Anolis sagrei: one gene and its partner. The protein of the gene in region 1 interacts with the protein of each later gene in a pairwise test. Links are inferred from orthologs where the notes say so. Each region holds a gene or a part of one and is shown on either strand. Other genes may lie near its edges. The genes, in order: CREB1 and TSSK4.

Region 1 (11,110 bases):
ATGTTCCCCATGCGTCGCGCTGATGTTTTACCATTCTGTGAGAGGCTTTCATTTATCGATACGTGAAAGGTTTAGGGTGGGAAAAAGAAATTATTTCTACTTGAGCCTAGTGTGAATGCTGCACCTGCATACCTGGATTACCTTTGAATAACCTTGCACCTTAAAAGCCTGGCTTCTACTAGTCAGCAGGAAACCTTTGCTGCAAAGAGTTCCCTAGCCAGGGGTCCTCAAACTTTTTAAACAGGGGGCCAGGTCACAGTCCCTCAAAGTGTTGGAGAGCCGGATTATAATTTGAAAAACACATGAATTCCTATGCACACTGCATATATCTTATTGTTGTGCAAAAATACTTTAAAACAGTACAATAATTAAAACTGAGAACAATTTTAACAAATATAAAATTATTAGTATTTAAATGGGAAGAGGGGACCTGCTTTTGGCTGATGAGATAGGATTGTTGTGTGCTTTCAATTCATTTCAACCTTAGGTTGACTCTGAGTGAGGGCCAGGTAAATGACCTTGGAAGACCGTATTTGGTCCCCGGGCCTTAGTTTGAGGACCCCTATCCCTAGCCCAGATTGTTTCATGTCTGCAAATCCTGTTTTCTGAGGGCCACAGCAACGCGTGGCCGGGTACAGCTAGTATGTGAAATAAATAAATAAAATAAATTATCAAAGCAGATAATCCACGTTATGAACTGGATTATCATTATCTACCAGACAGATAACCTGGATTTTAGATGGCACTGCGGATGGGGCCTTCCTCAAAGCTATTTCCGAGCCCCCTTTTCTTCTCCCTCCATTCTTGTCTCCGTTTCCTTTTACCCCGTGTAGGGAGGGAGAGAAGGGTGCCACATTGATAACTTGATCTCGGGGATATGTATGGGATGATCCTAAAACTCCTCATCGTGCAATCTAGGCCGCCAGCCCCCAACGGTGATGGTGGATTCCTCCATTCCTCGGAGGCCGCTCCAAACACCTTCGCGCGCCGGCCGCCATTTTGTCTCTTTCTTTCCTTCCTTCGTTCCTTGCGCTGTCAGCCTTCGGGCATTTCCGCGGAGGCCGTTCGGGCTTTCCCGCTCTTTGAAAGGAGGGAGGGATGGGGCACGAGCCAAGAGGAGGGGGGGTGGCGAGAGCGCGCGAGACAGAAGAGAAGGGAGGGGGAGAGAGTGCGCGAGACAAGAGGGGAGGGAGCAGTCCTACAGCGCGCGCGGGGGGGGGGGGGGGGGTTAAGGGTTCAATTTCCCCCCCCAACCCCAAAATGTTTCAGATTTTTAAAAAATCTGGTTTCCTCCTGATTTTTAGGTGGTTAACTAATTCGAAAGTAAACCAGCTTAAAAAAAAAAACCTGAAACATTTCGGGATTGGGGGGGGCTTGAACCCTTTAATTTTAAAACAGTTACATTTGGCCCGGCCATACGTTTTTAAATCCTTGTAAATCCTGTTTATTAGTTATTGTTTATGTGTGATTTATATTAATTGTATTGTATTTGTTGTTTTTGTTTATTGATGTACTGTTGGGCTTGGCCTCATGTAACCCGCTCTGAGTCCCTTGGGGAGATGGTGGCAGGGTATAAATAAAGTATTATTATTATTATTATTACTAGCTGTCCCCTGCCATGAGTTGCTGTAGCCCAGTCTGATGGTCATCATCATCATCATTTAATAATTTATTAATCACGCTCCATCCGAGAATGCTCCAGACGATTTACAGCTAAATTACAAAAGATAAATACATACATACAAACATTAAAAATCAACAGAGATCGAATGCTCTAGTAAAAAGCCAGGTCTTAAGTGCGAGAGTGATCTGGAAAATAAAAGGAATGAGAAAGTGTTGGTTTCTAATATATGTCATTTCTTTAGGCTTGTGGGTAAACAGTATTTCTTGCTGTTTCTTTGCCAGTGTTGATGTGGAGAGTGTCTGGTTTGCCCACCCTGGAACATGCAACATATCTTTGTCCTTCTTTAAGGATTCCTTTCAAATCTATGATACTATATTTCTCTCTCTGTGTGTGAATCCTATCTATCTATGTATATAGTAACCTATGGATGTGAGAGCTGGACCTTAGGGAAGGCTGAGCGAAGGAAGATCGATGCTTTTGAGCTGTGGTGTTGGAGGAAAGTGCTGAGAGTGCCTTGGACTGCGAGAAGATCCAACCAGTCCATCCTCCAGGAAATAAAGCCCGACTGCTCACTGGAGGGAAGGAGACTAGAGGCCAAGATGAAGTACTTTGGCTCAGCCTTCGCTCAGCCTTCCCTAACGTCCAGCTCTCACATCCGTAGGTTACTACAGGGAATACCATGGCTTTGACTAGGCGGATCTTTGTTGCCAGTGTGATGTCTCTACTCTTTACTATTTTATCGAGACTGGACATTGCTCTCCTCCCAAGAAGTAAGCGTCTTCTGATTTCCTGGCCACAGTCTGCATCTGCAGTAATCTTTGCACCTAGAAATACAAAGTCTGTCACGGCCTCCACGTTTTCTCCCTCTATTTTCCAGTTGTCAATCATTAAGTTTATATTTGTTAAAATAGTTCATTTTAATTATTGTATTGTTTTAAATGTTTTTTGCACTTGTTGTTGTTATTCGTTCAGTCGTCTCCGACTCTTCGTGACCTCATGGACCAGCCCACGCCAGAGCTCCCTGTCGGCCGTTACCACCCCCAGCTCCCTCAAGGTCAGTCCGGTCACTCCAAGGATGCCATCCATCCATCTTGCCCTTGGTCGGCCCCTCTTCCTTTTGCCTTCCACTTTCCCCAGCATAATTGTCTTCTCTAGGCTTTCCTGTCTCCTCATGATGTGGCCAAAGTACTTCAACTTTGTCTCTAGTATCTTTCCCTCCAGTGAGCAGTCGGGCTTTATTTCCTGGAGGATGGACTGGTTGGATCTTCTCGCAGTCCAAGGCACTCTCAGCACTTTCCTCCAGCACCACAGCTCAAAAGCATCGATCTTCCTTCGCTCAGCCTTCCCTAAGGTCCAGCTCTCACATCCATAGGTTACTACAGGGAATACCATGGCTTTGACTAGGCGGATCTTTGTTGCCAGTCTGATGTCTCTACTCTTTACTATTTTATCGAGACTGGACATTGCTCTCCTCCCAAGAAGTAAGCGTCTTCTGATTTCCTGGCCACAGTCTGCATCTGCAGTAATCTTTGCACCTAGAAATACAAAGTCTGTCACGGCCTCCACGGTTTCTCCCTCTATTTTCCAGTTGTCAATCATTCTTGTTGCCATAATCTTGGTTTTTTTGACGTTTAGCTGCAACCCGGCTTTTGCGCTTTCTTCTTTCACCTTGATTAGGAGGCTCCTCAGCTCCTCCTCGCTTTCGGCCATCAGAGTGGTGTCATCTGCATATCTGAGGTTGTTAATGTTTCTTCTAGCAATTTTCACCCCAGCTTTGCATTCATCCAGCCCCGCACATCGCATGATGTGTTCTGCATACAAGTTAAAAAGGTTGGGTGAGAGGATGCAGCCTTGCCGTACGCCTTTCCCAATCTTGAACCAGTCTGTTGTTCCGTGGTCAGTTCTTACTGTTGCTACTTGGTCCTTGTACAGATTCCTCAGGAGAGAGACAAGGTGGCTTGGGATGCCCATCCCACTAAGAACTTGCCACAGTTTATTATGATCCACACAGTCAAAGGCTTTAGAATAGTCAATGAAGCAGAAGTAGATGTTTTTCTGAAACTCCCTGCCTTTCTCCATTATCCAGCGGATATTGGCAATCTGGTCTCTCGTTCCTCTGCCTTTTCTAAACCCAGCTTGAACATCTGGCAACTCTCGCTCCATGTATTGCTGGAGTCTTCCTTGCAGAATCTTGAGCATTACCTTACTGGCATGAGAAATAAGGGCCACTGTACGGAAGTTTGAGCAGTCTTTCGCATTTCCCTTTTTTGGTATGGGGATATAAGTTGATTTTTTCCAGTCTGATGGCCATTCTTGTGTTTTCCATATTTGCTGGCAAATGGCATGCATCACCTTGACAGCATCATCTTTTAAGATTTTAAACAGTTCAGCTGGGATCCCGTCGTCTCCTGCTGCCTTGTTGTTAGCAATGCTTCTTAAGGCCCATTCAACCTCACTCCTCAGGATGTCTGGTTCTAATTCATTCACCACACCGTCAAAACTATAACAACATCCAATTTGCCCTGGCTCATAGATCTTACATTCCAGGTTCCTATGGTGTGTTGATCTTTAGAGCATCGGATTCGTCGTTCACCTCCAGTACCGTCGGCCGCTAGCCTTCCTTTCGGCTTTGAGCTAGCTGCGTCATCACATCTGGGGCTAGTTGAACTTATCCTCTGCTCCTCCCCAGTAGCATTTTGGCCATCTTCCGACCTGGGAGTCCCATCTTCCAATGGCATACCGACATATCTCTGGTTGTACTGGTCCATTTAGTTTTCTTGGCAAGGATACTGGAGTGGTTTGCCATTGCCTTCCCCAGGGATCACGCTTGGTCTGACCTCTCTGCCACAACCGTCCCGTCTTGGGTGTCCCTTCACGGTTTCGCTCATGACATCATTGAGGTGCTCAAGCTCCAGCGCCCCGACAAGGCGGTGATCCTTTGCTGGAGGTTTTTTGCACTACAAATAAGATATATGCAGTGTCTATAGGAATTGGTTCATTTTTTTTTTCAAATTATAATCTGGCCCTCCAACAGTTTGAGGGAATGTAACCTGGCCCAGTGGGTTAAAGCACTGAGCTGCTGAGCTTGTTGATTGAAAGGTCACAGGTTCAATTCCGCTGTCAGCCCTAGCTTCTGCCAACCTAGCAGTTCGAAAACATGCAAATGTGAGTAGATCAATAGGTACCGCTCCGGCGGGAAGGTAACGGCGGTCCATGCGGTCATGCCGGCCACATGACCTTGGAGGTGTCTACGGACAACGCTGGCTCTTCAGCTTAGAAATGGAGATGAGCACCACATCCCAGAGTCAGACATGACTGGACTTATTGTCAGGGGACTACCTTTACCTTTACCTTTACCTAACCTGGCCCTCTGTTTAAAAAGTTTGAGGACCCCTGCCTTAAACCCCCTCCCCCTCCTCTGGATCCAGGCCTGGGAGAGAGCGCGAGGCAGAAGAGAAGGGGGGAAAGCGCGCGCGAGGCAGAAGAGAAGGGGGGGGGGGGAATGGCGGGACAGGAATGGAGTAATGGGGAGAGAGAGCGCAGGGTAGAAGACAAGGGAGGGGAGACAGCGAGCGCGAGGCAGAAGGGAGGGGGAAGGTTCGCGAGACAGAAGAGAAGGGAGGGGGGAAATGGAGCGCGAGGCAAGAGGGAGGGGGGAGAGCACGCGAGGCAGAAGAGTAGGGAGGGGGGAGAGAAGAGCGCGAGGGAGGGGGAGCGCGCGAGGCAGAAGAGAAGGGGGGGAAGGAGCGCGAGGCAAGAGGGAGGGGGGAGAGTGCGCTAGGCAGTAGAGTAGGGAGGGGGGAGCGCGCGAGGCAGAAGGGAAGGGAGGGGGAGGAGAGCGAAGGCATGCTCGGCGGCGGCGGCGCTTGCTCCCTCCCTCCCTCCCTCCCTCCCTGGCCTCCTCCTCCTCTTCTCCCCCCCTCCCTTGCCTTCCCCTCCGTCGGCCGCTCTGCTTGCCTGCCTGCCTGCCTTGCCTTGCCTTGGCTGCCTGGCCTTGCTGTCGCCGGCGCTGGGAGAGCCGGAGCGAGCGAGCGAGCGAGCGGGCGCGTGGTGTGTGTGTCCTGTGAGTGACGCGGCGGAGGTGTAGTTTGACGCGGTGTGTTACGTGGGGGAGAGAATAAAACTGCGGCGAGAGCCTCGGCGCGAACGAAAGCAGTGACGGAGCAGCCTCTGGCCGGTAAGAGGAGAAGGAGAAAGCCCAGCGAGCACGCAGGAAGGAAGGAAAGAAAGAAAGGCAGGCCGAGGAGACAAAGGCCGACCAGAGAGAGAGAGAGGAAGGAGGAGGAAAACAGGGAGGGGCGGCGGCCGTTGAGGGAAGGAAGGAGGCAAAGAGAGAGAGAGCCAAGCTTCGGCCTAACGCGCTCTTCCCCTCCCTTCCCCTCAGTTCTGTGGCGGTTTTAATTTTTAAAATGGAGCCTCTCCTTCCTCCTGCCCTGGCCCGGCGCTGCTGCTGGAGGAGGAACAAAGAGTAATGGCGGATGGAAGCGGCCGGGCCAGGCAGAGACGAGGCGAGCCAAGCCTGGCGGGCGGGCGGACCGAGGAGGAGGATGGCGGCGGCCAAGCGGGGGGAAGAAACTAGGCCACGGCGCCCTTGGGAGAGGGAGAGGGCCTTCCCGCGAGGGTCTTCCCTCTGTCCCTCTCTCATCACGCAGTTTGTAACATAAATTGGTCATAAACACACGCTTCAGAGGTATAAGCAACCTCTTAAGAAGGGGGGGGGGGGGAATCCGCCGATCCTTTTTCTCCATAAGGTGCCCCCCCCTTCTTTAGGGCAGTAATATGGATCTAGTGGATCCAACACACACACATGCCTCACTCTTCTCCAAGCCAGAAGTTAGATGCCCCACCCCAGCCCTCTCTTCTCTTTTCCCGCCCAATGCTGAGCAGGGACTTCCCTGGCAGCCTTACACACGGAGTCCTAGGAGGAAAGGGAAAGGGGGTGATCATCACTATGTGGGGTCATCAGAGAAGCCTCTCACAAGGGTGGCAAAACGTCCAGGCGGCCTTGCAGACAGCACATTCTCTCACACCAGAAGCGACTTGCAGTTTCTCAAGTTGCTCCTGACATGAGAAACAAAACTCCCAATACTCGCTTCTGCTGTGCTTGGAGCAGACCCTCGATTCTGTCCCACGGGTCCAGAGGTTCCTCTTTTCATAGTCAAAGCATCCATTTGGCAGGAGTCCCCGTCCACTGTACCAGCAAAACAGTTTTAAAAAAACATGGCTCCAATTTGAAAAACCTCCGAAAGTTCCTTTTGAAATAAAAATAATTTTGGATCTACACTATTCTTGAACATCTTGTTTTCCTCACAGTTCTGTGTGGTTATGATGAAAGCTCTGGTGCTGGAAATGGTTGTATTTGTTTCAAACTTAATCCTCACTGCTCTGGTTTTTATCCCTCCCCCCTTTGATCTGTACTTTGAGGGGTTGTGCTTAGGCGAAAAGTTGTATTAAATGAGGCACTGCTAGTATTACTGACACTTTTGTTTTATTTGTAGAATCTATTCACCTCAGTTCAGTTTACATGGCACTCAGTAAAGTAATATAAGGGAGCAGACATGTAGTGGGGGGGGGGGGACTTTAGGGGCTTCAGCCCCCCCCCCCCCCCCAAATTCTCATGGTGGTTCGCGAGAAGGCCTTACTGGTTCATTATTTAAACTGTTATGTTTATTCATATCATGATCTGATCACCATACTCAATATATCCCATATGCATGGGGGTATTGGGGTAACGATACAAAAGCTTTGCTAGGGTAGACCCTCTTTCACTCAGACTCAGCCCCCCCCCCCCCCCCCCCCAAAATCGAAATCCTGGCTACGGGCCTGTAAGGGAGATAACTTAAAACAATGTACTAAATTAGGGGGGCTAGGAAGAGTGCAGGCAAGAAAAGTTAACACATATATAAGTTTAGCTTCAGTTATGAGTGGAGTCGTTTTGAATTAACTTTCCTACTTCCCATGCCCTGTTTCTTCCCTCTCTAACCAAGGCAAATAAAATATGTTATTTCCATTTTATAGGAAATATTTTCATGTACATTTCCCTATTTCTGAAGTTATTAGGATGAAATTTAGTATTTAACAGCCTCACTAAACCCCAGAGGTCTGCAGGAGGCAGAAACTGGATTTTAAATGGATTTATTCTCTAGTGCAGGGGTCCTCAAACTTTTTAAACAAAGGGCCAGGTCACAGTCCCTCAAACAGTTGGAGGGCCGGATTATAATTTGAAAAAAAAAACATGAATGAATTCCTATGCACACTGCACATATCTTATTTGTAGTGCAAAATCCACTTAAAAAACAATACAATAATTAAAATGAAGAACAATTTAGCAAATGTAAACTTATTAGTATTTCAATGGGAAGTGTGGGCCTATTTTTGGCTGATGAGCTAGGATTGTTGTTATTGTTTTGTTCTTTCAAGTCGTTTCAGACTTAAGTTGACCCTAAGCGAGGGCCTCATCTGGCCCCCGGGCCTTAGTTGAGGATCCCTGCTTTAGTGTGATGAAGTATCTGTTCAAATCTTGTGTAGGTCCAAGCCTGTGAGAGAATGTCTTTTCCCTCACCCAAAAGTCATGTTTTAGAACAGGCATGGCCATACTTTGGTCCTCCATGTGTTTTGGACTTCAACTTGCACAATTCCTAACAGCCAGGTATTGTGGGAGTTGAAGTCCAAGACTCTTGGAGGGCCAAAGTCTGCCCATGCCTGTTTTAGAATCTACCAAGGACGTTTTATGCTCGCAGGCCTCTTTGGGCTGGAGGAGCTACTCTACCACTCAAGGAGTTTTCCACTTCCTCTTAACCCAGTGGTTCTCAACCTGTGGGTTCCCAGATGTTTTGGCCTTCAACTCCCAGAAATCCTTACAGCTGGTAAAGTGGCTGGGATTTCTGGGAGTTGTAGGCCAAAACACCTGGGGACCTACAGGTTGAGAACTACTGTCTTAACCTCACTCTGTTTTTTAGCTAGGGTTGGGATTTCAGTCATTGTAAAACAAAAACCTGGATTTTTAGCTACATTGGATGTTTTAATAATTTTTATGTTGCAAAATAGGATACAAAGTAAAGGGCTAATTTTAGCAACAGTATCCCAGTATATTAAGTTTCAAGTAAGTTACTTGGTGCTGATTAATACACACTTCATAACAACATAAGGGAGGTTTTACCATGCTTACAACACAGTTCATTTACTTACTGTTTTAGACAACCTATTTGGCCATCATCGAAAAGTGAATTTCACCATATAGTTAGTACTCTCAATCTAAGACTCCTTTAAAGTTTGCATCTCCTGAAGTCCTAGTTTTCAGCCAAACATTGATCTTGATTGTTTTCCCTAATATGCTTTAATGCAGGGGTCCTCAAACTTTGTAAACAGAGGGCCAGGTTACAGTCCCTCAAACTGTTGGAGGGCCGGATTATAATTTGAAAAAAACATGAACGAATTCCTATGCACACTGCACATATCCTATTTGTAGTGCAAATAACACTTTAAAACATTACAATAATTAAAATGAAGAACAATTTTAACAGATATAAACTTATTAGTATTTAAATGGGAAGTGTGGGCCTGCTTTTGGCTGATGAGATAGAATTGTTGTGGTTGTGTGCTTTCAAGTCATTTCAGACTTAGGTTAACCCTGAGCGAGGGCCGGGTAAATGACCTTGGAAGGCCGTATACAGCCCTCGGGCCTTAGTTTTGGGGGCCCTGCTTTAATGTATAGGCAGTCATATTTGAAGGGTCACAGATAGGGTTTTTATGATATTTATTGTTGTTGTTCCTGTATTGCTTCCATTTCACAGAGAAATTTTAGTGTTCTCACATATCCTTGTTTCACCAGACTGTGGCCTAAATCCACCCAACTAGGAAAAGTATCGTGAACTAGGTAGTGGAACATAAATGCCATTGATTTGGTTGGTCTAGTTGGGGGTGGCAATTGGATTTATACCTGTATTTATAAATGCAATAATTTCATACTGTTCTAGACAGGGTTTGTTACTAAATTCTAACATAACTTTGTGGCTCTTCAAATATTGCATACTTTTCAGGAACGAGGGCTTCATGGACTAGAGCCCTCCCTACTACACATGCTGGATTCTGTGGCCTGAATGTAATAGTGCTCATGCTTTTATAGAAAGTGTTATAATGTATAAATTGGACACTATATTTGTAGACTTTTTAAAAACATAATCTACAGCCCCCTTTGAAAATCTGTCCCTAAGTATTGAGAAATTTTTAGAACTTAATAAATATAATGAAGAAAGCTGCAGTCAATTGGGGATTTGGCAATATGGACCACCTTTCACAAATAAGCTATTATTGGAATTCTGCAAATGCCAATCAAGTGCTAAAAAAACACAGCCTAGGTATAATCCTCTGTTAGAAAATATATAAAGTGTGATTTAAAAAATTAACAAAAAAACCTTCAAGCGTCAATGTTATTGTCACTGACATATTTTTTAAAATACATTTTTATTTTTGCTTATTTCACATTTATAATAATTATATGATTTTCCTTCCAAAGGAAACTTCTCCAGTAATTCATACCATTGGCTTAGATTTGTGAAAGGTAGTTTTCAGGAGGGAAAAGCTGTGTCCTGTGCTTTAAAGCCATGCCATTCAGCGTGATGGTCCATGAAATGGCGATTCCAAAGCCAACTGCTGCAAGACTCTGGAAGACATCCAATATATATTTTAAAAGCCAAAACAAAACCCAATGGGCACAAATATACCAGTACATTGGGAGAAAAGAACCTGTTGGTTCTCCACATCAGATAGCTTAAGAAGCACTGTCGAAATTACTTTATAGACTTAGGACAGTGTTTCTCAACCTTCCTAATACAGCGACCTCTTAATACAGTTTCTCATGTTGTGGTGACCCCCAATCAAAATTATTTTCATTTCTACTTCATAACTGTAGTTATGCTACACTTATGAGTCATAATGTAATAATCTGATATGCAAGATGATTTTCATTCACTGAACCAAATTTGGCACAAATGCCCCGATTGGAATACTGGTGGGGTTGGGGGGGTTGATTTTGTAATTTGGGAGTTGTAGTTACTGAGATTTATAGTTCAGCTACAATCAAAGAGCATTCTGAACTCCACCAATGATGGAATTGAACTAAACTTGGCACACAGAACTCCCATGACCAACAGAAAATACTGAAAGAGTTTGGTGGGCATTGACCTTGAGTTTTCGAATTGCAGTCCACCTACATCCAGACTCAAACAATGATGGATCTGAACCAAACTTGGCACAAATACTCAATATGCCCAAATGTGTACCCTTGGGGAGTTGGGGGAAAATAGAGCTTGACATTTGGGAGTTGTAGTTACTGGGATTGATAGTTCGCCTAGAATCAAAGAGAATTTGAATCCCACTAACGATAGAATTGGGCCAAACTTCCCTCACAGAACCCCCCATGCTTTGAAGGGATTTGCTGGCATGAGCCTCCCTCCAGTCTCGCATGCTCTCCCTCACCTGCATATG
Region 2 (11,889 bases), on another chromosome or scaffold:
AATAATATGAATATAGCATATATAATATTAACAATGTTGTAATATATTATTATTATATTACCCTCCACTCTGCTGTGTTCTCTGTGGCTATTCTTAATCAATAACCACATTTTTGGCCTCTAGTTTGCAAAATTAATGCAATTTGACACCACTTTAACTTCCATTGGATTCAAACTACAGCAAAATAAGTTCCACCTAATCTTTAGTAAACCCTTCCTGACAGTAAGACCTATCTGATAGTGGAATACACTGTCACTTGGGAGTCCAGCAGAGCCTACATTTTGTGAGGCTTTTAAACAGAGACTGGTCATCTATTGGGAGTGGTTTAATTGTATATTCCTGCATGGCAGAATGGAGTTGGACTGGATGACCTTTAGGGATCCCTTCTAACTCTAGTGGAATATAGACTACCAAGGAGTATGGTGGAATATACATCTCCAGAGGCTTTTCAGCAGGGACTGAATAGCCATCTGTCGAGAGTGCTTGGATTGTGTATCCCGCATGACAGAAAGGGGTTGGACTGGATGGACTTTAGGGATCCCTCCTAAGTCTCGTGGAATATAGACTTCCGGGGAGTGCAGTGGAATATACATCTCTAACACTTTTTAGCAGGGACTGAATAGCCATCGGTCGAGAGTGCTTGGATTGTGTATTCCTGCATGACAGAATGGGACTGGACTGGATGACCTTTCGAGATCCCTTTTGACTTTAGTTGAATATTGACTGCCTGGGAATTTGTTGGATTTTCCTTCTCTAGAGACTGTTAAACAGAGACTGAATGGCCATCTATCAGGAGTGCTTCGATTGTGTATTGCTGCAGGACAGAATGGGTTTGGACTGGATGGCCTTTAGGGATCCCTTCTAATGCTAATGGAATATAGACTACCAGGGAGTGCAGAGAATTATACTTCTCCCGAGGCTTTTCAGCAGTGACTGGATAGCCATCTGTCAGGAGTGCTTGGATTGTGCATTCCTGCATGATAGAATGGGGTTGGACTGGATGGCCTTTCGAGCTCCTTTTCAACTTCAGTTGAATATTGACTGCCTGTGAGTTTGTTGGAGTTTCCTTCTCTAGAGGCTGTTAAACAGAGACTGAATGGCTATCTGTCGAGACTGCTTTGATCGTGTATTCCTGCATGGTAAAAGGGGGTTGGACTGGATGGCCCTTGGGGTCTCTTCCAACCCTTTAACCATACACTTCACCTTTCCTCCAAAAGAGGCTTATAATTTTGTCAAAGGGCATCACAGGAACAGAAGACCCTTGTTTGTTTGAGATCGTGTCATCGTGTCAGGGGCAACCAGACCATTGTATTACATTTCTAACAGAACAAAACAAACAAACAGATAAAAAAAACCCACAAAGTTTGCAAGCTTGGTAGTAGATTAAATGTCCTTTGACCAGTAGCTGGCCACTTGGAGTGCCTCTGATGTTGTTGCAAGAAGGTCCTCCATGGTGCATGTGGCAGGGCTCAGGTTGCATTGCAGCAGATGGTCAGTGGTTTGCTCCTCTCCGCACTCGCATGTTGTGGATTCCACTTTGTAGCCCCATTTCTTAAGGTTGGCTCTGCATCTCGTGGTGCCAGAGCGCAGTCTGTTCAGCGCCTTCCAAGTCGCCCAGTCTTCTGTGTGCCCAGGGGGGAGTCTCTCATTTGGTATCAGCCATTGGTTGAGGTTCTGGGTTTGAGCCTGCCGCTTTTGGACTCTCGCTTGCTGAGGTGTTCCAGCGAGTGTCTCTGTAGATCTTAGAAAACTATTTCTTGATTTAAGTCATTGACATGCTGGCTGATACCCAAACAAGGGTGAGCTGGAGATGTCACTGCCTTGGTCCTTTCACTATTGAAATTACACTGTTTAGCTGGTATTGCACCACCTGACATCCACCAGGAAGTAGCCGCCAATAGTTTGTTTGAGATGAGAAAATAGTATTACTTAAATCCAATGAGTAGGATTTGGAACCAAGAGAGTTTGGAGCAAGCAGAACCCATGTTGCATCAGGCAACATCCTTTGTTGGAAGACAATCCCTCAGTGCCATCCATGGAAGCCTCCCTATGGTAACTGGAACCCCATCGGCCTATTGACATGGCTGGAATGCCAAGGGCATCTTCAGAACCCAGGCAGAAAAGAAGGTCGGACCCCTTCCTAGTGGTTGGGGTCCGGTTGAGCAGATCCCATTTCTTCCTTTGGAGCTGTTAATTGGCAGGATGATGGTTTAGATTCCACCAAGTTGGGTGAGACAGGTGGATCTCCAACTAGATCCCTCCCATCACCCAAAAGACTTATCGGAGAGATCTCCTTGGACTCGGATACACAGTTGGAAAAACCTGATTACCTTCTCCTCCCCTGGTTGTCCTTCTCAGAACATCCCACCAAGGGTCCTTTCCCTATCACAAAAGTATTCTTGAGGATTTGGGGCTGAGCACCAAAACGGAACCATGGTGGAACATTCGGCCTCCACGCCGTACGTCTCGGTGATGGATCAATACGGCTACCAAATTGGCAAAGTGATTGGGCACGGCTCTTACGGCACCGTCTATGAGGCCTATTTCGCGAAGCAGAAGACCATGGTGGCCATCAAGATCATCTCCAAGAAAAAGGCCTCTGAGGATTACCTCTCCAAATTCCTCCCAAGGGAAATACAGGTGGTTTACCTTTACGTGTTGGGTGAGGTTGGATGAAGCATGGGCAAACTTTGGCCCTTTGGGTGTTTTGGACTTCAACTCCCACAATTCCTAACAGCAAGTAGACTGATATACAATAACCCTGTAAGGTAGACTCAAAGAGTAGGTTTTAGAAACTCTCCAAATGACATTGGCACTTGGTTCAACAAGTTTGAATGTAATCATATTTAATAATATGGGGACATTGCTTTTGATTATATTTTCATATTAAGTCCTGCTTTGTGGCTGGGCCTTGTTAATATTCTGGTTTAGTTTGTTACCGTGATAACTATCTAGCCAGGAAGATGAAATTAAATAATTGATTTAAATATTTATATTCCACCTTTTGTCCTGCGCATTTTACATTCATATCCTACTTTTCTACTTACGAAGAGTACAATGGGTAGTTAATACAATTCATTTACCATTTCTATATTGCCAGTACTTAAATCCACTCTGGGATTTAGTCTGAAGTTTACAGAATAAGGTCCTGGATAATAAATTGCCAAAATGGATTAAGTACCTTGGATAGCTTATTAAAACACAGATTCACACACCTGCCACTGACATGTCATTATTTTGGACTGCAAGACCCAGAATACAATACGCAATTGTTTTGGACTACAATACCCAGAATCTCCATCCAGGATTGGATGGGGATTCTGGAGCTTTTGTCATGATGAAATATGAGGTATGGTTTGAATGGAATTGTATGAAAGATGAATGAATGAGAGCTAATAATTTTGAAGACACCATTCCTGGAAAACCACTGCCTGCTTGCTGAACTGTAATCAAAAGTTGCTGAACTGCTGACATTGATAAAAACTGTAATTGTTTTGGGGAAAACAATGTGTTTACATTATCAGAGACAATTATTAAAGAAATGTTTACAAGGAAGTCTACACAAGACTGCTTATGTTTATTAACACCAATTACGAAGAGTCAACATCTGTCCAGGAACTGATGATATCAACATATTTCAGACTGGAAGAACATCTATCAATGATTTACAATTTATTTATTTATTTATTTATTTACTGCACTTGTAGACCGCCGTTCTCAGCCCTAGGGCGACTCACGGCGGTGTACAACATATAAAAAACAATTTACACTAAAGGCAATAAAGGCAATAGCACAAACAACAGTAACAACATCACTATCAATAATACAATTACACTAAATCATTTGCGACGTCTCATCATAGAATCACAATCCAATCTCGTTTTCCATATTCCGTTCCAATCATCATTGCCAATTGTTGTAGCACTTAGTCAAACGCCTTCTCAAACAACCACGTTTTTAGTCTCTTGCGGAATGTCATAAGGGAGGGCGCCTGTCTGATGTCTACAGGGAGGGTGTTCCACAGCCGGGGGGCCACCACCGAGAAGGCCCTATCCCTCGTCCCCACCAGGCGTGCCTGTGAGGCAGGCGGGATCGAGAGAAGGGCCTCCCCAGACGATCTCAAAGTCCTCGTGGGCTCATAGGCCGAGATGCGGTCAGACAGGTAATTTTGGAACGACATACCCTATTTCCCTGAAAATAAGACATCCCCTAAAAATAAGACCTAGTAGAGGTTTTGCCGAATTGCTAAAAATAAGGCCTCCCCACAAAGTAAGACCGAGTTAAGTTTTTGTTTGGAACCATGCCTGCCAAATAGAACATCAAAGCATGCATTGAATAAATCTTGCTTTGTGTCCATAAATATCGGGATCAGTAAATGTACCATAGATTGCTGTACATGGAAATAATGGCAGCAACAAGAAATTCTTGATTGATGAAACCTAGGATCATGTTGGCTTTTTTGGCTTGATAGGATTCATAGTTTGTCTGATTATGCTGATTTGTGATGACAACTACTGTACAGTATGTAATAAATGTTAATGTTTTGTTCAACAATACATATTGTTGAATACGCCTGGCAGGAACGAGAGACAGGGCCTTCTCAGTGGTGGCCCCTCGGCTGTGGAACACCCTTCCTACAGATATTAGATCGGCCCCCTCCCTATTGGCATTTCGGAGGAAAGTGAAGACCTGGTTGTTCGAGCAGACATTTGATTAGGCAGTGTAATGAATATAGGAACACGGAATAACGGATGATGAGATTGGATCTTGATTCTACTGATGAGACGCGAATGAGTTGTTATATTGATGCTTAATTGTTTATTATGCTACTGTTTTAACTGTCCCTTCACTGTTTTTATGATGTTTTGCATTGAATTTTTGCTGTTGTTAACCGCTTTGAGTCGTCTAAGGGCTGAGAAAAGCGGTATATAAATGAAGTAAGCAAATAAATAAATAAATATGAATTCTTCTTCATGGAAAAATAAGACATCTCCTGAAAATAAGACCTAGCACATCTTTGGGAGCAAAAATTAATATAAGACACTATCTTATTTTGGGGGAAACAGGGTACAACATCAGCAAGGAAATATTGCTATGTAAGAGACCTTATTACAATCCAAAAATTGTGACAGACAGCAGTGCTGTTCACCTGCCATGCTGTATGGAAAGAGATGGTGTATGCCTCCTTGTCTCAAGAGAAGAGAAAGGAGTGTGATTTTGGAGTTTTGGATTTTGTGCAGGGAGTCCGGTTCTGCTTCATGGAAAACGGGGATCTGATCCTTGCCATTGTGCTTAGGGGAAGGATGCATTTTGGCGTTTAGGAGTTTTGGAAATATGCATTGACAGATTTTCAGGAAAGCAAAGTATAGTCCAATAAATGTTCTTCTCCAAGGAGTTAGAAAGGATATGGTAATATTTGAATGCAGGGGAATGAATTAATGTGCAAGTGAAGGCTGAGTGAAAATGTAATTCCCCTCTGTTTGTTTGATAGCCAATGTAACTATAGGTTGTTTATGAATCCAATGTAGTTACATAGAATCTGTAAGTTTGTATAGCTATATAAATTCTGATACCCTTTCTCTTACTGGAATGTATTGATATTATGGCATTGAATTGTTGCCCGTGTTAGCAGCCCTGAGCGCGCGTCCCCCCCCCCCCCCCCCACTGATAGGGCAGTGCAGATTCAAATAATTCAGATTATATTGTGGATTATCTGCCTTGATATTCTGGGTTACAGGGCTGTATGGACAGGCCCTTTGAGGCAAGGAAAGTCTAAAACAAGGACTATATACAGCCCATGGGGACCACTATAGTGGCTGTTAAAGAGGGGTAGAAATGATGTAAATAAACAAATAAACAAATAAATAAATAAAATTTCAATAAAAAGAACCTATGTTTTAAAGGTATTGAAAAGTTATTCATAACACTTGTAGTCCGAAAAGCAAACATGAAATGGAAATTGGGACTGCGAAAGACAGAAAGGGACATAGCATAGGTTTAACCCTGAATCCGTTTCTCCTTTCCAGGTGATGAAGAGTCTGCGCCACAAATACGTGATCAGTTTCTACCAAGCCATCGAGACCACCTCCCGCCATTATATCATCATGGAGCTGGCACCCTGCGGGGATGTCTTGGAGTGGATCCAGAAGTCGGGCGCTTGCTCCGAGGCCCTGGCGGGGAAGTGGTTCTCCCAGCTGGCCCTGGGCATTGCCTATCTTCATGGCAAGGGCATCGTGCACCGGTCAGCAAAGGGGCAACTTGGGCTCTGGTTGGGTGGCAAAGTCATGAGTCCTGGCTGGAATGCTAGTGTTGGAAAATACCATAATGGCTGTCCTGTCCAACCTCTTGCCATTCAAGAAGATACAATGCAAGCCCTCCTGACAGTTTATTTAACATTTAGTTAAATAAGCAGAAGTGAGATGTTTGAATGTGTTGAGATTAATTTCACAATTCAGCAGCAGATCAGTTGCACAACTTCAGCGCTTTCCAGTAGCTTCTTCCTGCACAGTATTTTCAGTCAACTGCTCCCACAGCCTGCAGTCACTCTGGAACCTTTTACAGACACTTGAGCACATGCCCGGCCATTGTCAGTTTTACCGTTGTCTTTCCCCCAGTCTAGATGATATTACAAACTTACCACAGCATACAGTTATATCTTGTCTTAGCAGACAGGTTCTTTTAATCAATTACATATAGCCTTCGACGACAACATCACAGCACAAGGAGAGGAATACACACTGTACATGACTTCCTTATATACAATTCTATACAATTTCACATAGCAATCTCTGATTGGTTCCCAACTCATTAACTTAACTCAGACCCAGGATTACATCATTCACAATCACCTGGACTAGGCCAGAACACATTCCCCAAATGATTCCCTATATACAGTTAATGCATGACTCAGCATTTCCAATAGCCCATTAGCAGTGCATGACTCAGCTATATTACATTACAATACATTGTAAAACCTGACAGGATGGTGTCTTGCTGCCTGGAAGAAAAGGGTCAGTTTGGATGGCCCTTGAGATGTCTTCCAACCCTATATTACACTATGATTCTTTGAGATCTCCAGCCAGATCAGTCCTGTTTCCAAGTTCTGTCGTTGCAGTGAATCTCACTCTTTGATTCTCGCAGGGACCTCAAGCTGGAGAACCTCCTCCTGGATAAGCGGGAGAACATAAAGATCTCAGACTTTGGCTTCTCCAAGATTGTGACCCCGCAGACGCAGCCGCCCCCGACTCCTTCCTACCGCATGATGAGCTGCTTCTCCCACCTCAGCCAGACCTACTGCGGCAGCTTCGCCTACGCCTGCCCGGAGATCCTCCTGGGGCTGCCCTACAACCCCTTCCTCTCCGACATCTGGAGCATGGGGGTCATCCTCTACACCTTGGTGGTGGCCCACCTGCCCTTCGATGACACCAACCTCAAGAAGTTGCTCCGCGAGACCCAGAAGGAGGTCAACTTCCCAAGCCACCTCCAGATCAACGAGGAGATCAAGGTGAGGATGGCCCACCTGTAGACCTTACAACAGGCATGGGCAAACTTTGCCCCTCTAGGTGTTTCGGACTTCAACTCCCACAAATTGTGGGAGTTGGTCCAAAACACCTGGAGGTCCCAAGTTTGCTCAGGCCTGCTCTGAGTATATTGTCTGAAGAGTTTGGGGAACTTTGGATCCAAACATGCAGCTTTTTCTACCTGATATCCTGACTGAGGGATTTAACATCTACATGAAACCGCTGGGAGATATTCCTAATTGCCATACAATATTTAATGCATTTTTAGAAATACTAGTTAGACTCACAGTAATAAAAAAATCATCTTCAGGCTATGTGTATATATGAAACATGAATTAATTTCACGTTTAGACCTGAATCCTATCTTCAAGATTTCTTTTTTCTCTGTGTATTTATCTATGCAAATCCAGGTATTGCAAAATATTTCTGGTTTCATGCATTTCAGATAACAGATACTCAACCTGGATTAAGACTGTAACAACATCTAAAACAAGTCTGATCTTGGAGTGTTGAGAATGGGAGTGTCAAGTTTAGTAATGTTTAAGGCAGGCATGGGTACATTTTCTAACTTGGGGACCACATGATAACATTCCCTACTAGAATGACTGGCTTCCTGGTGATGGAAGGAAGGAAGGGGAGGAGGGAGGAAAGAGAGAAGGAAGGAAGGAGGAAAGGGAGGAAGGGAATGATGGAAGGAAAGAGAGAAGGAAGAAAGGAGGAAAGGGAAGAAGAAAGGAAGGAAGGAAAGACAAAAAGGAAGGAAGCAAGGATGAAAGGGTGGAAGGGAAGGATGGATGGATGGAAGGAAGGGAAGGATGGAAGGAAAGAGAGAAGGAAGGAAAGAGGAAAGGGAGAGGGAAGAAGGGAGGAAAGAGGGAAGAAAGGAAAGGCAAAAGAGAAAGAAGGATGAAAGGGAGGAAGATAAGAATGGAAGGAAAGGAATGAGGAGGAAAAGAGAGAAGGAAGGAAGGACAAAAGGGAGGAAGGGAAGGGTGGAAGGAGAAAGAGGGAGAGAAGGAAGGAGGGAGAAAAGAGGGAAAGAAGGAAAGACAAAAGTGAAGGTAGGAAGGATGAAAAGGTGGAAGGGAAGGATGGAAGGAAGGAAAGGAAGGAGGAAGGAAAGAACGCAGGGAGGGAGGAAGATAGATAAGGATGGTAGGAAGGGAAGGATAAAGGAAAGAGAGAAGGAAAGGCAAAATGGAAGGAAGAAAGGAGAAAGAGGGAGAGAGGAAGGAAGGAAGGAAGGAAGGCAGGAAGGAAGGCAGGAAGGAAGGAAGGAAGGAAGGAAGGAAGGAAGGAAGGAAGGAAGGGGAAGGGAGGGAGGGAGGGAGGAAAGGAGAACAAAGGGGTGGAAGGGAAGGATGGAAGGAGAAAGAGGGAGGGAAGGGAGGCAAGGAGGAAGGAAAAAGAGAAGAAAGGAAAGACAAAAGATAGGGAAGGAGAGAAGGACGAAAGGGTGGAAGGGAAGAAGTAAGGGAAGAAGGACGAAGGAGTAGAAGGGAATGGAGGGAGAAAGAGGGAAGGGGGGAAGCGAGATGTAAAGACAAAAGGGAAGGAAGGAGAAAGGGAGAGAGAGAAGAAAGGAAGAATGAAAGAGTGGAAGGGAAGGAAGGAGGGAGGTAGGAAGAGGAAGGGGAGAGAAGGAAGGAAGGAAGGAAGGAAGGAAGGAAGGAAGGAAGGAAGGAAGGAAGGAAGGAAGGAAGGAAGGAGAGGAAGGAAGGAAAAATAGGATTGTGTGAGAGAGGGAGGCCTGAGAAAAGACCCCAATGGCCCGCTTCCGGCCCCTGGACCTGGGTTTTCCCATATATGGTTCAAGGCCTCATAAATTATCTTTTTTTAGGATTCATCTGCAATGCAGAATGAATGTAGTTTTAAACCACGTTCCCTGCCAATGCGATTGAATGCTTGGAGTTGTAGTGTGGCAAAGGACCAGCACACTTCAACAAAGAAGACCTTGCAAAAGTACAGCTCCCAGGGATTCCATCGCATTGAGTCATGGTGAACCTTCTCTGGATACCTTCCAGCTTGTCCATCTACTTCTCGAATTGCTTTGCCCAGGACTGGTCAGATTATTATTCCAGGGGAAGGTTTGACCAAAACAGAACGGAATAGGGTTATGACCTTTCTTTTGACCAACACTCCTAGTGATGCATCCTGGAATTGTGTTGGCTTTCCTGAGGTGCTGCATCCTTTTGATGGTGTCTGTCTTGTCTTTCCGGCAATCTCGTAGGAGCTGGTCCATCGCATCCTCCGCCCGGCTTCGAAGCGCCTCAACATCTTGGAAGTCCTCAAGGTGCAGTGGGTCATCAAATTCCTTGCTGAGAAGCCCACCACGGAGCTCAAGGCCCTGGAAGCCATCTGCGGACCCCGGGCCACTGACTCCTTGAAGAACGCCAACCTCAGCACCAAATCCCGCTCCCTGACTTTCGCGCCGGACAAAAAAAAGGCCGCCAGCCGTACGCGCAGCACTGGGCAGATCAAGGGCTCCAAAAACACAGAGAAAAGCAGCTAAGGAGGGGTGCATTAAAAACAAAAGACTCTTTAAGGCAAAGTTGTTGGCGGTCCATGTTTTTCTGGGCTTAGTGCTTACCTTCAACGGCCAGGGAGTGTGCAAACCAGAAACAAATACAGCCAAACACTGGGGAAACTTGATAAATGTAACATAGAGCAGGGGCCCTTTATCAGGAATGAGCAGGAACAAGGTTTGGGATATCACCTTTTCATGGGATCATAGTTGGAAAATACTCCCAAGTCCAACCCCATATTGCCATGCAGGATCACACAATTGAAGCACTCCCGACAGGTGGCCTTCCAGCCTCTGCTTCAAAACATCTAGAGAAGACTTGATTTTTGTGGATGGATGTCATCGACATTGTACAATCGGTAAGCTGGCTGCACCCTTTGTCAGAGATACTAAAGACCTTGTAAAACGACAGCTCCCATGATTCTATAGCATTGACACCACTTTAAGTGCTGTGACTGAATGATATGGACAGTTTTACATGTTCAGACTAAAACCCAGAATGGATTCACCACTCTGATATACAAAAATGTGACTGTCTGCTAAACTAGTTTATTTATACTAGAACAGTGGTTCTCAACCTGGAATCCCCAGATGTTAGTGGCCTACAACTCCCAGAAATCCCAGCCAGTTTACCAGCTGTTAGGATTTCTGGGAGTTGAAGGCCAAAAACATCTGGGGACCCCAGGCTGAGAACCACTGTACTAGAATCTGACCTCACTATAACTTCCACGGCACAATGCTATGGATCCTTGGGAGTTGTAGTTTGGCAATGCATTACAGCAGTGGTTCCCAGGAGCCCCCCCATGGCCCGATGGGTTAAACCCTTGTGCCGGCAGAGCTGAAGATCGACAGGTCAGAGGTTCAAATCCAGGAAGAGCGTGGATGAGCTCCCTCTGTCAGCTCCTGCTCCCCATGCAGGGACATGAGAGAAGCCTCCCACAAGGATGGTAAAACATCAAAACATCTGGACACCCCCTGGGCGACGTCCTTGCAGATGGACAATTCTCTCACACCAGAAGCAACTTGCAGTTTCTCAAGTCGCTCCTCACACATACACACACACACAAAAGTGGTTCCCAACCTTTTTTTGACCAGGGACCTCTCTCCAACATGAGTACCAAAAGGGTTATGAATCAGTTTTTGCTCAACTTTCGATTCGGATTGGGGTGCTGATTCAGAAAATTGCATTGGATAGACCACATCAGCTCTAGTTTCTGATACAGAACAAATGCCATGGTCAATGACAGGGAAAAAGTGGCAGGTGGTGTGAAAGGAGCGGAAAGAAAATAAATAAAATCTAATAAATAAATAATGAGGAAGGAGGATAGCAATCAGATTTTCGTCCTCACGGCCCACAGGTAAAGAACCACTGAATTACAGTATTTAGAACAGGCTAGAGATCTTGTAGAATAGTGACTCCCATGATTCAATAGCACTGAGCTGAGATAATTCAAGTGGTGTCAAACCTCATTCATTCTACCCTAGTGTGACTCCAGATATCAAGTGGATCTGTACTTTCTGCCCGCTCCATAAATGACACCAAATCTAGCACTAGAAAAGCCTTGTAAAATGTTTTCCCCTGACACTAAAGTCCAGTCGTGTTCGACTCTGGGGGTTGGTGCTCATCTCCATTTCTAAGCTGAAGAGCTGGCATTGTCCATAGACACCTTGTAGGTCATGTGGCCAGCATGACTACATGGAGCGCTGTTACTTTCCTGCTGGAGCAGTACCTATTGATTTACTCACATTTGCATGTTTTCGAACTGCTAGGTTGGCAGAAGCTGAGCCTAGTAGCAGAAGCTCACCCCGTCCCGCCGATTCGAACAACCAGCCTTTTGGTCAGCA

Evidence for each region.
Region 2: the proteins of CREB1 (region 1) and TSSK4 interact in binary tests that used the Homo sapiens proteins (3 or more experiments, as listed by UniProt). The link is inferred for Anolis sagrei from reciprocal best matches to the Homo sapiens genes CREB1 and TSSK4.

The regions. Positions count from the first base shown.
Region 1 is NC_090021.1:168,928,769-168,939,878, forward strand, and holds the start of CREB1 (cyclic AMP-responsive element-binding protein 1), read left to right. Parts: upstream 1-5,532; 5' UTR 5,533-5,801; intron 5,802-11,110.
Region 2 is NC_090026.1:7,932,559-7,944,447, reverse strand, and holds TSSK4 (testis-specific serine/threonine-protein kinase 4), read left to right. Parts: upstream 1-6,026; 5' UTR 6,027-6,029; coding exon 6,030-6,241; intron 6,242-7,140; coding exon 7,141-7,504; intron 7,505-9,657; coding exon of another isoform or gene 9,658-9,750; coding exon 9,751-10,032; 3' UTR 10,033-10,075; downstream 10,076-11,889. Other genes in the region: TM9SF1 (transmembrane 9 superfamily member 1), read right to left, coding at 7,256-7,480, 9,658-10,028. UniProt on the Homo sapiens protein: Serine/threonine kinase which is involved in male germ cell development and in mature sperm function. May be involved in the Cre/Creb signaling pathway. Phosphorylates CREB1 on 'Ser-133' in vitro and can stimulate Cre/Creb pathway in cells.